2 linked regions of the Notamacropus eugenii genome follow. The protein of the gene in region 1 interacts with the protein of each later gene in a pairwise test. Links are inferred from orthologs where the notes say so. Each region holds a gene or a part of one and is shown on either strand. Other genes may lie near its edges.

What was found.
Region 2: the proteins of STX5 (region 1) and STX3 interact in binary tests that used the Homo sapiens proteins (3 or more experiments, as listed by UniProt). The link is inferred for Notamacropus eugenii from reciprocal best matches to the Homo sapiens genes STX5 and STX3.

The regions. Positions count from the first base shown.
Region 1 is NC_092873.1:15,894,015-15,901,566, reverse strand, and holds the start of STX5 (syntaxin-5), read left to right. Parts: upstream 1-4,538; 5' UTR 4,539-4,729; exon of another isoform or gene 4,730-4,857; intron 4,858-7,018; exon of another isoform or gene 7,019-7,115; intron 7,116-7,552. Other genes in the region: TEX54 (testis-expressed protein 54), read left to right, coding at 3,769-3,832, 3,935-4,173. UniProt on the Homo sapiens protein: Mediates endoplasmic reticulum to Golgi transport.
Region 2 is NC_092873.1:5,641,079-5,648,085, forward strand, and holds the start of STX3 (syntaxin-3), read left to right. Parts: upstream 1-3,994; 5' UTR 3,995-4,099; coding exon 4,100-4,129; intron 4,130-7,007. UniProt on the Homo sapiens protein: Potentially involved in docking of synaptic vesicles at presynaptic active zones. Apical receptor involved in membrane fusion of apical vesicles.

The sequences.
Region 1 (7,552 bases):
GTACCTAATCCATTCTGCTGATCCAACATTCTGTTTCTTGACCAGTACCAGGTTGTTTTGATGATTACCACTTCAATATGTCATATTATTAATGTGATCATTTTATTAATAGTTTTCCTTATGTTGAACCACTTCAGTGAACTACATTGCTGGTATAAACCCAGCCTAGTCATAGTTTATGATCTTTCTAGTCCAGTGTAGGAAGCCAGAAGTTCTGTACCAGGCCCTGTCATTAAACAGATCCTATATTTCCTCCTCTCTGGGTCTTTGCTGCTTTTGAAAGAACTGGGTGGGCTGGCGATCCTCTATCTTTTACCAGCAGTGAGGACGTGTGGGCCTGTTAGTTTCTCCTGCCTTCACTCAGAGTGACCTGATAGTGCTTTGTTCTGAGAACCCAGGTTCTCCTCTGTTCTCTTTCAGAACTTCCTCTCATGAGGCTGAAGACCTTATGCAAACTGGACTCTGTCTAGGCTGCCTGAGAACAGTGCCTTGTGGTTTTCTGACTCAGACACTCCTCTCTAGGCTGTTTACTCCACTCACCTCATCTTTGGTTCCTTGTTTAGATCCATCATGTCATGGCTCCATCTCTTCCCTCAGAACTCAAGGCTCTCTGACTGGCATTTTGAGGCCACAAAGACCAGTCTCTTCCCCAGTTGAGAAATTGTCAAAATATATGAAATTTTTCCGATGAAAAAATTAAAGCTACCTACAGTCATATGAAAAAATGCTCTAAATCACTGCTGATTAGAGAAATTCACATTACAACAACTCTGAGGTACCACATCATACCTATCAGATTGGCTAACATGACAAAACAGGAAAATTATAAATGTTGGAGAAGATGTGGGAAAATTAGAACGCTAATGCATTGTTGGTGTAGTTGTGAACTGCTCCACCCATTCTGGAGAACAATTTGGAACTATTGCCTAAAGGGCTACGAAACTGAATATCCTTTGACCCAGCAATGTGCCACTTCTTTGCCTGGGATCAGAAAAATGGGATCTACATCCACATGTACAAAACTATTTATAGTAGGTCTTTTTGTGGTGGCCAAAAATTGGAAATTGAGGGGATGTCCATCTATTGGGGAATGGCTGAACAAGTTGTGATATATGAAGGTAATGGAATACTATGTTCCATAAGAAATGATGAGCAGGCAGACTTCAGAAAAACCTGGATTTGAATGAGCCGATGCTGAGTGAAGAGCAGAACAAGAGAATGCTGTACACAGTAACAGCCACGTTGTGCAATGATTGACTGATAGATTTAGCTCTTCTCAGCTATGCAACGATCTGAGACGACTCCAAAAGATTCATGACGGAAAATGCCCTCCACATCCAGAGAAAGAAGTGTGGCATCTGAATGCACATGGAAGCTCACTATTTTCTCTTTATGGGGTTGTTTTTTTCTCTTTCTCAAGGCTTTTGTTCTGATTCTTTCAAAACAAGACTGATGTGGAAATATGTTTAACATGATCATAGATGTATAGCTTGTATCAGATGGCATGCCATCTTGAGGAGGAGGGAGTGAAAGGGGGAGGAATATTTAGAGCTCAAAATCTTATAAAAGGGAATGTTGAAAATACTATAAATAAATCTGTTTAACAAAAAAAGACCAGTCTAGTTCCCTGACTACTTTATGACTGCTAACGGAGAGCTGGAGTTGAAGTCACAGATGTGTGCTTGCACAGATTCTAGGTCCTTGGAGGATCCTGGAGATGATAGAATTGGAACAACCTTTCCCCAGCCCTATTTACAGATGAGGAAACTGATGCCTAGAGAACGGTATTTGCTCAGAGACAGAGGGTAGCTGTGTCTCAGGGTTAAGGTTTGTAACCTGCCTCACCACCTCCAAGTCTGATGCTCTTTCCACTTCACACTGTTAATGTACCAGTATCCTTTCAGGTCCGAGTGTATGACCCGGCCTCCCCACAGCGGCGGCCAGTGCTGGAAACCACCTATGGAGAGTATCCCCTGATGGCAATGACCCTTACTCCAGGGGGCAAGTGAGTGATGGGGGCAGGGATGTTTGTGGGCTCTGGGGATGAAGGAGATTTTGAAAACCAGCTCATGTCGATCCCTGCCTGCCCTCTGGTTTCTTTCCCCAGCTCTGTGGTGGTGGGGAACACCCATGGGCAGCTAGCAGAAATTGACCTTCGGCAAGGTGAGTTGGGGGGTACGGCCTGGGGGGCAGTCTGGGTCATAGGAGAGGCTGGGCAGCAGTAGCTTCTTGGCCCTTCCTGGTCTTCCCCAGGGCGCCTGGTGTGCTGCTTAAAGGGTCTGGCAGGCAGTGTTCGGGGTCTGCAGTGCCATCCCACTCAGCCCATTCTTGCCTCCTGTGGGCTGGACCGAGTTCTGCGGATACATCGACTTCGAGAACCTCGAGGACTGGAGCACAAGGTAACTCCACCCCCACCCCACCCCCACCCCCCTGGACTTCTCTTCAGCCCCTTCTGCCAAGTGCCCTAACTGTGCTGCTCATCCACACTTTCTCAGGCTTCTGGGGTTGGGGAGGAAGACCAGGAGCCCCTCCCCGCTTCTCAATCTCACCCCCTTAACTGTCTCCTTTAGGTTTACCTCAAGTCCCGACTGAACTGCCTCCTCTTGTCAGGAAGGGACAACTGGGAGGTGAGAACCACATCATGTCTACTGGGTGCCAGGGGTGCCAGTGTTAAACATGGTGGCGCAGGGGCTTAGCTGAGGACCTGCCTCAGGTGCTAAGGGGAGAAAGAGGGAGGTTGTCTTTGTGTACAGATCAGTGGGAGACAAGGCTGCTGGTGTGGAGGGAGCAGTGGCCCTGGACCTGGGTCCTCTCCTTCCTCAAACCCTACCCCCCACTTTGTGCCCCTCTGACCTTGGTAAAGGAGAAGCCACTCCAGTGCACTGGGCTCAGAGTCCAGAACCAGACACTGATTAGCCAGGACTCTGGCCATGTCACTTCCCTTCTGTTTGCCTCAGTTTCCTTAGCTGTAAAATGGGGCTGACACTGTGATCCTCCCTAGGTTGTGAGGATCAGATGAGAGTCACATATGCACATAGAGGCAGTGCAGTGCCTGGCACAGAGGAGTTGCTTAACATGGGTTCCCTTCCTTTAATTTCCCCGTGCCTCAGTTTCCTCAGTTGTAAAATGAGGGCATTAGACTAGAAGGTTTCTGAGTTCCCTTCCAACTCTAAGCTACGATCTTGAGAGACATAAGCTGTCATATGAAACCAGAGCGGGGTCGGCCTGATCAGCTCATCCCGGAGGAAATGGAGACCCCCTAAATGGGGAGACTGATCAGGTCCAGGCCTCCCCTACAGTAAGGGTGGCTGCTCTGGGCAGTGAATGGGGAGGAGGAGGGGGAGGGCACTGGGGAAATTGGAAAGGCCTGCCCTGGATCTCAGTGCTTCTGGGCAGTCTCCCCATAGACCTTCCCTTTCGCTCACCAGGATGAGCCCAGAGATCCTGTCCCAGTCCCCTCCGAAGAAACCGAGACTGATGAGTTGTGGGATTCGTTGGAGCCCGTGACCGCAGGGGCCAAGAGGAAACGGCAGCCTGTGGGGAAGAAGCAGCAACCGGCGTTGGGGGGCCCCCCACCTCTGCCCCCCCTTTGTAAATAAAGAAGTCACCCCCTTCTGTGACCCTGCCTCCTCCTTGCGAGAGCCCGGCCCGGGACCCTGCGGCGGCAGCCCGCTTGGGGGGCGGGGGTGGGGAGGGCTCTGATGTCACAAAAGCTCGGGCCTCCGGCCAGAGCGATGGCTGCCCGGCCTCCAGGTCGGCGGAGGGGACATGGGCTGTGCCAGGTCCAAGAGCAGGAGTCACGATGACGTGTGCCCCGGGGAAGAAATGGAAGGTAGGGCGTGGGGGGGCGGCTGCCCCGGGCTGGGGGGGCTGGCCGAGGCCCGGAACGCCCCGAGGTGCAGACGGGCAGCGCGGCTCCCTCCCCGCCCCGCAGGACCGGCCAGCCGCTACGAGGGGTCCCACAAGTCCAACGACAGCCTGATCATCACGGTGCTCTGGCGGAGGCTGTCCATGTTCAGCCGGCGGGGCTCCACGCGCCAGCAGCAGCCCGCGGTGAGGACCGCGTCCGGAGCGAAGTCGGGCTCCGCCGGGCGGACCCCGGAGGCCCCCGAGCCGCAGCAGTTCGAGGAGCTCACGTCGCCCGATCTGGGCCGAGACCCGGAGCCCCGATGACGCCGGCGGAGCCCCGCCCCGCCCCGCCCCGCCCCCCGGAGAAGAGAATAAAAGTAGTGACCTGGAGTCGGGAGGTGGAGCCTGCCTCGGGTCTGCCTGGGGGAGAGGGCGCGGGGCCTCAGTTTCCCCTAAGCTGAAAGGGGAGGAGCCGCGAATCTGCGCGGCGAGCCCTTTAAGGTTCTTCGGGAGGCTGTGGCGTAACCCAAGGGGCGTGGCGCCGTAGGTTTCCATGGAGGAGGGAGGAGGCGGGACTTGGGGGAGGGGATTAAGCCGGCTGGTGGGCGTGGCATGCTGGGAGCCTGGGTCGCTGTCGGGGGAGGGGCGTCGCCAAGGAGTCTCCCGGGCGAGTGGGCGTGACCGTCACTGTTGATGCGGGGGCGTGGCCTCCGCCGCCGGAGGGGGGCGTGTCGGCGCGCTGCCGTCATTTTGGGGCGGGGCCACGCCTAGGTGACGTGTCAACCTCTGGTCTCTGGTCCCGTTTCTCTGGCTCGTCCCCGGGGAAGAAACAGTACCGGCCCGGGTGGCGGAGGTGGCGGCAGCAGGCAGCGACGCGGAGGTAGGAGACGACCCGGACGAGCCTGGGGAAGACGCTGGGGCCGAGGGCGGCCGGCTCTCGGTGGGGCGGGGATGGGGGGGACGACGACCGACCGGGGAGACCGGGGACTTCTGCCGGTCCAGCCGCTGGTGAGCGATGCCTCCCCTACCCAATCAGAGCGCCGCCTTCCGTGAAGGATAGCGGCAGCAGCCAATCGTTGCCCAAAGCCGCGGAGGGGGCGGGGTTTAGTCTGGGGCGGGACTTCCGATGTCAGATAAACATTTTGGAGGGTACCCCTGACCAGCATCCTGTCTCCTGGGAGCCCCAGAACGGAGACCCCTCTTCCCTCTCCACCCCCTGAGCCTTCCTCCGGCTCTCTTTCAGCCCTTCCCCCATCCTTCCTCCCGCCCCCTTTCTCCTCCTGCCCCTCTGGTCTCTTCGCCCTCTTCCTTCATTGCCCCCATCTCTCCCCCTCCCTTACTCCTCCCCATTTTCCTTAATCTCTGCCCCTCCCCCTCCTCCCCCATTCCCCCCACCGCTCTCCCCTCCTCCCCCATTCCCCCCACCGCTCTCCCCTCCTCCCCCATTCCCCCCCACCGCTCTCCCCTCCTCCCCCATTCCCCCCCACCGCTCTCCCCTCCTCCCCCATTCCCCCCCATCGCTCTCCCCTCCTCCCCCATTCCCCCCATCGCTCTCCCCTCCTCCCCCATTCCCCCCCACCGCTCTCCCCTCCTCCCCCATTCCCCCCCATCGCTCTCCCCTCCTCCCCCATTCCCCCCCACCGCTCTCCCCTCCTCCCCCATTCCCCCCACCGCTCTCCCCTCCTCCCCCATTCCCCCCACCGCTCTCCCCTCCTCCCCCATTCCCCCCACCGCTCTCCCCTCCTCCCCCATTCCCCCCACCGCTCTCCCCTCCTCCCCCATTCCCCCCCATCGCTCTCCCCTCCTCCCCCATTCCCCCCCACCGCTCTCCCCTCCTCCCCCATTCCCCCCCACCGCTCTCCCCTCCTCCCCCATTCCCCCCCACCGCTCTCCCCTCCTCCCCCATTCCCCCCCATCGCTCTCCCCTCCTCCCCCATTCCCCCCATCGCTCTCCCCCTCCTCCCCCATTCCCCCCCATCGCTCTCCCCTCCTCCCCCATTCCCCCCCATCGCTCTCCCCTCCTCCCCCATTCCCCCCCACCGCTCTCCCCTCCTCCCCCATTCCCCCCCATCGCTCTCCCCTCCTCCCCCATTCCCCCCCATCGCTCTCCCCTCCTCCCCCATTCCCCCCCATCGCTCTCCCCTCCTCCCCCATTCCCCCCCATCGCTCTCCCCTCCTCCCCCATTCCCCCCACCGCTCTCCCCTCCTCCCCCATTCTCCCCATCGCTTTCCCCCTCCTTTTCTCCTTCAGCCCTCCCTCATTCTTTCTCTTTTCTCTCCCCCTTCCTTTCCCACCTCGCTTCATCCCTTTTCTCATTTCTTCCTTCTTGCTCTTCTCTCCTAACCCCTCCCCCATTCCCTCTCTTACTTCTCTCCCCCTCGTTCCATTCTCTTTTCCTCTCAGTTCCTTTTTGTCCTCCCTTCTTTCCCCCTTTTTACTTTTCTCTCTGGAGCCCCCCATTCCTTCTCCCTTGTCTTTCCCTTCTTCCCCTTTTGCCCTCCAAGGTGACAAGTATATAGGAACTGGACCTGGAGGTGGAAGGGAACTTGCAGTTAAAATGTGATTTTAGACACTCCTTAACTGGGTGACTCTGGCCCAGTGACTTCAGTTTCCTCCTCTGTAAAATAAAGATAATAGGAGCCCTGGTTCCCTCTCAAATGAGACATCTCAGAAGAGCTTTTAGCAGTGTCAGCCACATAATTGGCATGTAATAAATGCTCATTTCCTTTCTCCCCCTCCCCATTCTCTCCCTCCTCCTTCCTTTCCCTTCTCCCCCTCCCCATTCTCTCCCTCCTTCCTTTCCCTTCTCCCCCTCCCCATTCTCTCCTTCCTCCATCCTTTCCCTTCTCCCCCTCCCCATCCTCTCCTTCCTCCTTCCTTTCCCTTCTCCCCCTCCCCATCCTCTCCTTCCTCCTTCCTTTCCCTTCTCCCCCTCCCCATCCTCTCCTTCCTCCTTCCTTTCCCTTCTCCCCCTCCCCATCCTCTCCTTCCTCCTTCTTTCCCTTCTCCCCATTTACTTTTCTCTTCCTTTTCCTTCCTTCCTTTTCTCTGTTGTTCTCTCTTTGATTCTTACCCCCAGCACTCCTCTCTCCCCTCTGCATTTCTTCCTTTGCTTTTGCTTTCTTATTTCTGTGTTCACTTCCTTATCTTTATCTCTTCTTTCCTCAGATTTCTCCTCCCATTCTCCCTTTGGCATGTACAGCACAGACGCCTTGAACTTGGAGTGAGAGCCCCTGTGTTCAGAGGGGCCATCTGTGTGACCCGGGCAAGTCCCTTACCCTCTCTGGGCCTCAGTTGCCTCATCTGTAAAGGAAAGGGATTCGAGTCTCTTCCACTTCCTGGATCTGTGCTCCCTTTGCCTGACCCTTTCTTTGAATCCCCCCTTTTCCATCCTCTCCACCCTCGTTATTCTTTGTCCCATTTCATCATGCTATGCTTTCACCCCTTTTCTGGGGCTAGTTGGAGGGAGTGTGGGGAGGGACGAGAGGAGGAACGGAAAACCTGTCAAAGACCCGGACTTGGCTGCAGTCCATCCATCCCCTGTTCTTGTCCTGACACCTCTGTTACTGTATGATCTGATGATCCTAGGTCAAGTCTCAGCCTCCATTTCCCTGTCTGTAAAAGGAGACTCTTGAACCCTTGGACAGTGCGTCCTTGCCAGAGTTCTTGTGAGCTTCTGAGCACTCTAGAATGGGAACTCTT
Region 2 (7,007 bases), about 10 Mb from region 1:
AAACATATATTATGTTGAATTCAACAAGCATTTAAGCAGCAACCTATACAATTTGCAATGTCCTGTGTTAGTCCTCTATTTGTCTGTGTACTGCCTTGCCCTAAAGTTTATCCTAGTGAACTATTTTTGGGTAGCCCTCCCCCACCCCACCTTCCTACCCCAGGAAAGGACAGATGGGCTGTATTGTAATTGCAGGAGACTCTAGAACAATAGATTTTGAGCTGAAAGGGACTTCTGAGGCCACAGGTCTAACTCCCTCCATCCCTTATTTGAGTTAAGGAAACTGAAACCCAGGGCAGTTAAATGACTTTTCCAAGGGCACATGGGTGCTAAGTTTTAGAGGTAAGATTCCAATCCAAATGCACTGATTTAAAGGCCAGTGTTCTTTTCCCTGTACCAGAAGGTCAATCTGAAAGCCTGAATCATAGTCAAACTGAGACTTGTTCTAGACCTTAGCTTAAAAAGGCCAAGGTCTCCCATTGCATCCTGGGCCATCTCCAGTCATCCTGATCTATATCTGACCACTGAAATGAGGCTGGAGGCACAGTCCTCCTTCACTTAAATCTAATTCACTTGCATGTCATGATATCACCTTCCTGATACCATGATTCTCTTTGAGAGCAAAGGACAAATGTAGCAGAACCAAAGAATGACCCTGGAGGAAATTTAGCTTTGATTTAGCCTGAACCCACTATTCTAAAGAGGTGGGAAACTGGGGCCAAGGGAGAGAAGAAGCTGTTACACATGCTAGACGTTGTTCTAAACACAATTATTTTACAAATATTTTCTCATTTGGTTCTGCCAACAGCCCTTCAAGGTGGGTGCCATTCCCACTTTTCAGTTGAGGAAATCAAGGCACAGAGTAAGTGATTTGCCCAGGGTCACACAGTTAGTGTGTGAGGATGATTTGAATTCATGTCTTCCTGACTCCAGGCTCAGCTCTCTATCCTAGGTAACAACAACTGGGCCAGGACTTGTTTGCCTAAAGTCACATGACTTGTAGGACTGTGCCAGGATCTCAGATCACTTGACTGAGTTTTAGGCTTTTCCCCCCCAGTTTTCTACCATCTTCAATGAGATAATAAGTTGTAACTTTTATATCCACAATACTTTACAATTTACTAAGTACTTTGCACACACTATCTCCTTTGATTTGTGCTAGGATTAGCCCCATTTAATAGGTCAGAAAACATGATCAGTGAGGTTGTGACTGGCCCAAGGTCACACAGCAAGGAAGTGTCTGAGGAAAGATTCAAACCCAGGTCCTCTAGACTCCGAGTCCAGCTCTTTTTCTATTGTGCCACAAATTACGTAAAGTTCTTTGAAAACCTAAAAGTATTATCTAAATGTCAGTTACGATGATTACTCCACTATACTACCTATTTCATAAATTGTCAGATAGGCTGGTGAACAGGCAACATCTGGTAGAATGTGCATGAAAATACTTCCCCTTTAATGAGCAATGATAGTCGAGCTGGCCAGAGGCCTCAGGTGAGCAGAGCAGCCTCGGATGATGGAATAAAGTCAAGTCAAGCAAGTATTTATTGTTTCCTATGTACCACACACTGTGCCAAGGACTGGGAAACCAAATATGGATAGAAAGAAAGACAACGTCTGCCCTGAAGGACCTACCATTCAAAGTGGGGAAATAACACATGAAGGGAAGCTGAAACATGAGGGGGTGGGGCTGGCCTGCTAGAAGTGAGCACAATATGGCAAGGAATGGAGACATGGCTGACTTGAGCATCCTCCTTGAAATGGGACTTTGGGGAGAAACCAGCCAGTCAGAGGGAGAAGCCAGAGGGCAGAGTATACTTCCCAAGTGAGAATCTAGGGGGTGAAGTGAAACTTCTAGGGTGAAGAGGAATAGTCTGAAAATGCATTGCAGATCATAAAGACCAAAAACTGCAAGTTCAAAGTCCTTAGAGATTATCTAATCTAACTTCTTCATTTTACAGATGAGTAAACTGAGGCCCAGACAAGTGATTTGTCTGAGGTCACAATGATATAGCTGAGCCAAAATTTAACCAGAACCAGAACCAGTGGTCTTTCTGTTACAACTTAGTGCAGCCAAAGGGAAATAGAACATTCCTCAGTGACCTTTCTAATTTTTCTGCTGTAGGGAATTGGTAACAAGGCAAAGATTAGGACTAAGACAGTATCCAGACAGGAGAAAAAGCCTCTGGGAGAAGGCAGCAGAGAATAACCAACAATAGCTAGCTCTTTAATGAAGGAGGAGAGCTTACTTTTAATCCAATGCTTTTAGAAATGTTGGCAGAGTGGAAAGAGCTTGGGAATGGGAGCCAGTTAGCCCCCTGAGAATGTGCTTCTACCACCAACTTGCTAGGGTGATCCTTGGTAAGTCATTTTTATCTCCTTGGACCTTAGTTTTGGCAAGTATAAAAGAAGGGACTCGGATGAGCAGAGAGGATCTTTGAAATTTCTTTACACTTCAAAGCATTCTGATTCTGTGACTCATGCATCTATTCCAGCAGGTGCCCATTGATGTTGACCTTCTACCAGGAAGAGAAGTTAGGGCCAGTTTAGCTGGTGTGTTTGACATATTTGCTGTTCTCCAGTTCTGTTAGCTCTTCCACTTCCTGGAGACCACTCTTCTCTCTTCACCAGTCCTTTACCATCCTTTTCTGATTTACTTCCAACCCCATGGGGTTCTGCTTTCTCCTACCCTCTAAAATTTTCTTTCTTCCCCTGGGGACTCTCGCTACCTTCTTTCCAATTCTCTAATATCCTTTTCAGCTTGTCCTCCACTCCCCCGACATTTCCAGCTCACCTAGGGCCAGCAGACCTTTCCAGCCTTACTGTATATTATTTCCTTTCCCATGCTGTATGGTCAAGCCAAATTGGACAGAATACATCATCTCTGATAGGCAGCCCCTATTCCTGGAATGGTCCCCTCCCCCATTTTTTGTTTTTGCCTTTGGCTCTAAAAATCCATGGAAGTTCAGTTCAAGAAGTATTTCATTCTTGAGAGAGGGGGTGGAGAACCTGTGACCTCAAGTCCCCAGGTGGCTCTCTAGGTCCTCAAGTCTGCCACACTTGAGGACCTAGAGGGCCACAATGGGCCTCAAGGCCACAGGTTCCTCACTTCTGCCAGGCCCTTCCCTGAGACAGATGCCAGTGCCTCCCTTCCTCCAAATTGCTTTGGCATTCACTTATATGTGTACATATTTTTCCCCATATAAACTTGTTGAGGGCAGGGACTGGTTGCTTTTTTGTCTTTGCACCAGCACGGTGCCTAGGTATCTGGCAGAAATGCTTCTCCGGTTGAATAATAGCCCCAGAATTAGGGTTAGGGTCAGAGCTGACGCATGGAGGACCCCAGTTTGAATGCATTAGCTGTGAAGTCACGGCAAGTCTCCTCACCTCAGGGGGCCTCAGTGGGCCTCAGTGTCCACGCCCGTGGACCTCAAAGATCACTCTGCTCTACACTCCACTGCTGCCTTCTCCCAACCTCCGATGACGTTTCAGATTCCTTCTTCGTCTCCCGGGAGACCTTGGCTGCGGAGGAGGAGGAGAATGTTGAGGCTATGGGAATGAGAAGAGAAGAGGAGGAAGGAGAGAAGGAGGAAAAGGAGGAAGAGGAGCGCGGGGCGGGGGGAGGTGGGGACGGGGGGTGGGAGTGGGGAAGCCTGTGGGCCGCGGCTGGCTCTTTAAGGCCTCTGAGCAGTGGGCGGTGCCCAGGTAGAAGGGGCGGGGCCCCGCCAGCCTCCGCCCTTCCTAGAGTGTCCGGGAGGATTAGTCCGGCTGCAGTCCTGCGCCCGCCTGGCCGGCCGGGGATCAGGCTCCGAGGCTCGGGGGCGGATTGAGACAGCACTGTCGGGCTGGGGCCGGAGAGGTGGGGAGCGGGCTGTCAGTCCTCAGCGGGACTGCGACGCTCCTCTCGAGGCGCGGCTTCACCCTTCTCCTCTTCCTTCACCTGCGGCCAAGCTCGGGCGGCCACTTCCTGCCGCTCCCCTGGGCCGTGCTCACCTGGGCCGTGCTCCCCTGAACGGCGCTCACCTAGCAGTGCTCCTTTGGGCGGAGCTCCACTGCCTGCCAGCGCCAGGGAGGGGGCTCCCGGGAGGCTCCCCTGGCCAAGATGAAGGACCGGCTGGAGCAGCTGAAGGCTGTGAGTGCCGTTGCCCCAAGGGGTGCACCCGGGAGGAGGAGAAGGTGGAGGTGGAGGGCAGTCCCCTTTCTTTGGGGGGGGGGGGAGTGGGAGGGCCAGGCACCACAGCACAGGAGGCTGTGTACGTGCTAGAGGGGTGGGAGGTTGCCGTTCCCCTTCTCCAGTCGTCTGATCCCCTCTCCCCGGGTGCTGCGGGCTCCCCTCCCACCCTGTGTCCTGTGCCAGCTGATTCATGCCAGAGAAGCTGCTACTTCCCCGACCGTCCCTGCCCCACACCCCTTTCCGTCTGTCCAGCTTCTCTGAAACTCTGAATGGGTGAATGGTTGCATCCCAACCCCTGGCTGGCAGAGGGTAGAGGGCGGTGGGGCTACGTCTTCCTGGGGGAGAACAAAGAGGTCATTCAGGTCACTCCTTCTCTCTGTTTTCTCCCTTGGGCGCTCTTGACTTTCTCCTCCAGGCACTCTTCTTTTCCTCCAGCCTCTCCCATGAAGCAGCTGACGCCTCCTTCAACTTAAAAAAAAGTCCTGTCTGGCTAGCCGCTTGGGCTCTGCTCCTCGCTATCTCCTCTGGTTATTGATTCCCTCCTTGAGTTTCTGTTGTCCAAGATTTAGTTTTCTTTCTCCTCCCTAGCCTTGGCCAAGTCCTTCATTGCCCTTTGACCTGAACTTATTGTAGGGACTCAAATGAAACCAAAGTGCCAGGTTTCCTCAAGGTTCGCCTGAGGAGCCTAGAAGGACAAAAACAAGGGCCAGGGTTTGTCGTGGGACTTTGTGGGGAATCCTGGTGGGGACGTGGTCGGAAGGTCCCCTCTGTTCCCAGGGGCCTGTAGGCATAGAATGTCTGTTACCTCCCTTTAGTTAGGACTGGACACATTCCAAGTCATCTGAGGGGTCTCTTCAGTTGTTTTAACAACTCCAGGGAGAAGCAAGAAAGATCCTATCTGTTCAATTGTTTCCAACAAGAAATTGCAAATTAACAATGCTCCAAGTGTTTATTAAATGCCTGTGCTAGGTGATGGAGAGACAAAGATAGCCTGAAGCAGTTCCTACCCTCAAGGAGCTTACTTTCAATTGGGGTCAAGAATATCTACCCGTATAAGTATATTTTACAAATTGGGGCTAGGACTGGACCTGTGATTTCACCTATATAGGGAACTGCCAGGTGAGGAAGCTTCTCTACCAAAGTAGGTTGCCACATATCATCTTATGGAATTGCCCATGGTGCTGGGTCACATGACCAGCATACAAGTGAAATCCAGGACTTGTATTCAGGTCTTTTGGGTGCCAGGACTGGAGCTCTAACCATGACACCATACTGCTTCTCATAAAGGTTCCATACAAAATGCATGCTAAATAAATTGAATGAAGTTAAAGGGAGAGTATTAGCAGCTAGTAGGATCAGGAAAGGCTTGGAGAAGGCAGTGGGGAGCACAGTCTTGACTGAAGCATGGGATTCCATGAGATGGGTGAGGAGGTTAGGTATGAGATAGACCAAGGTGAAGGGTAATGAGGTGTGGCAATAGAGTGCCAGGCTTGGACCCAGGAGGACTCATCTCCTTGAATTTAACTCTGATCTCAGATACTTAGTAGCAATGTGACCCTGGGCAAGTCACTGCACCCTGTTGCCTCAGTTTCCTTATCTGTAAAATGTACTGGAGAAGGAAATGGCAACCACTCCAGTATCTTTGCCAAGGAATCTCCAAATGGGGTCACGAGGAGTCTGACACTATTGAAATGACTGAACAACAAAGGTGTGTATGTGAATGTATGTGTGTGTGTGTGTGTGTGTGTGTGTGTCTGTGTCTGTGTGAGAGAGAGAGAGATACACACACATGTGGGAAAAGACCTGGTTGTAACATTAAGGGACCTAAGTGATCACAGAAGATCATTTCTATGATCACAGGCATAGAGTCAGAGGGTCCTTCCATCTAGCCCCTTCATTTTAATGAGGACGCAGGGAGGGAAAATTACTTGTCCAAGGTCATATAGGTAGTAAGTAGAAGAGTCAGAGTTCCACCCCCTGTCTTTTGACTCTCGATTCAGCCTCTCTCCATGGTACTTGCTTTCATGGGACCCAAAGAGCTGCTCTAGAGAGGCTTGGGTTGGGGGGAATGGAAGATTTGTGGGAGAAGGGAGCTCTAGGTTCTAGGCTCAGCTCTGCTGTCAACTAACTTTGAGTTAAAGCAGCCCACTTCTCTTGGTCCCTTTCAGCTTTGAATATTAAGAGAAAGCAAGGCATAGTGGATGGAGAGCAAACCTTGGGGGAACAGAGATCTGAATTCAAATCCAGACTCTGATATACTAGTTATGTGATCTCAGTATCCCCAGGTTAATTCTCTTAAGACTATAAATTACAGAGGAGTTGTGCATCTGCATTGGAGGAGGGCGCTCTCACACAGGAAGTGACCGCATCCATGATATCAGAAGTCTGAACCATTCCCACTGCCAAAAAGAAAAGAAAAATTACACATAACTCTGAGTGAGACAACAGTTCAGAGAGAATTACATAAACCCAGCTCCTTTTCCTGGAAGCTTCATTGGTTCCAGGCATGGTGGTAAACATCAGGGCCTTCACAATTAGCATCCTGCCCCTACTCCAGGACTTAGGTTCTTTCTGAAGTCACAGTCACAAGGCCTGAGTCTTCCCTTATCTTTGATACTGGGTCCCTGAGTAAGTCATCATAGCCACAGACTCTCAGGCCAGACTTCTGGAGTACCTGTAGTCAGTAAGTGAAATGTAGGGATAGAATGTCTTATTCACCATGAATACCCAGATGTGCCAGAAAGGGACCTGGCCTGGCTTGGGGAAGTTATTTCTTACTGATTTCTTTTTGAGTATTTCTAGATCATTTAACACTAGGCCATTTGCATAACCTTTC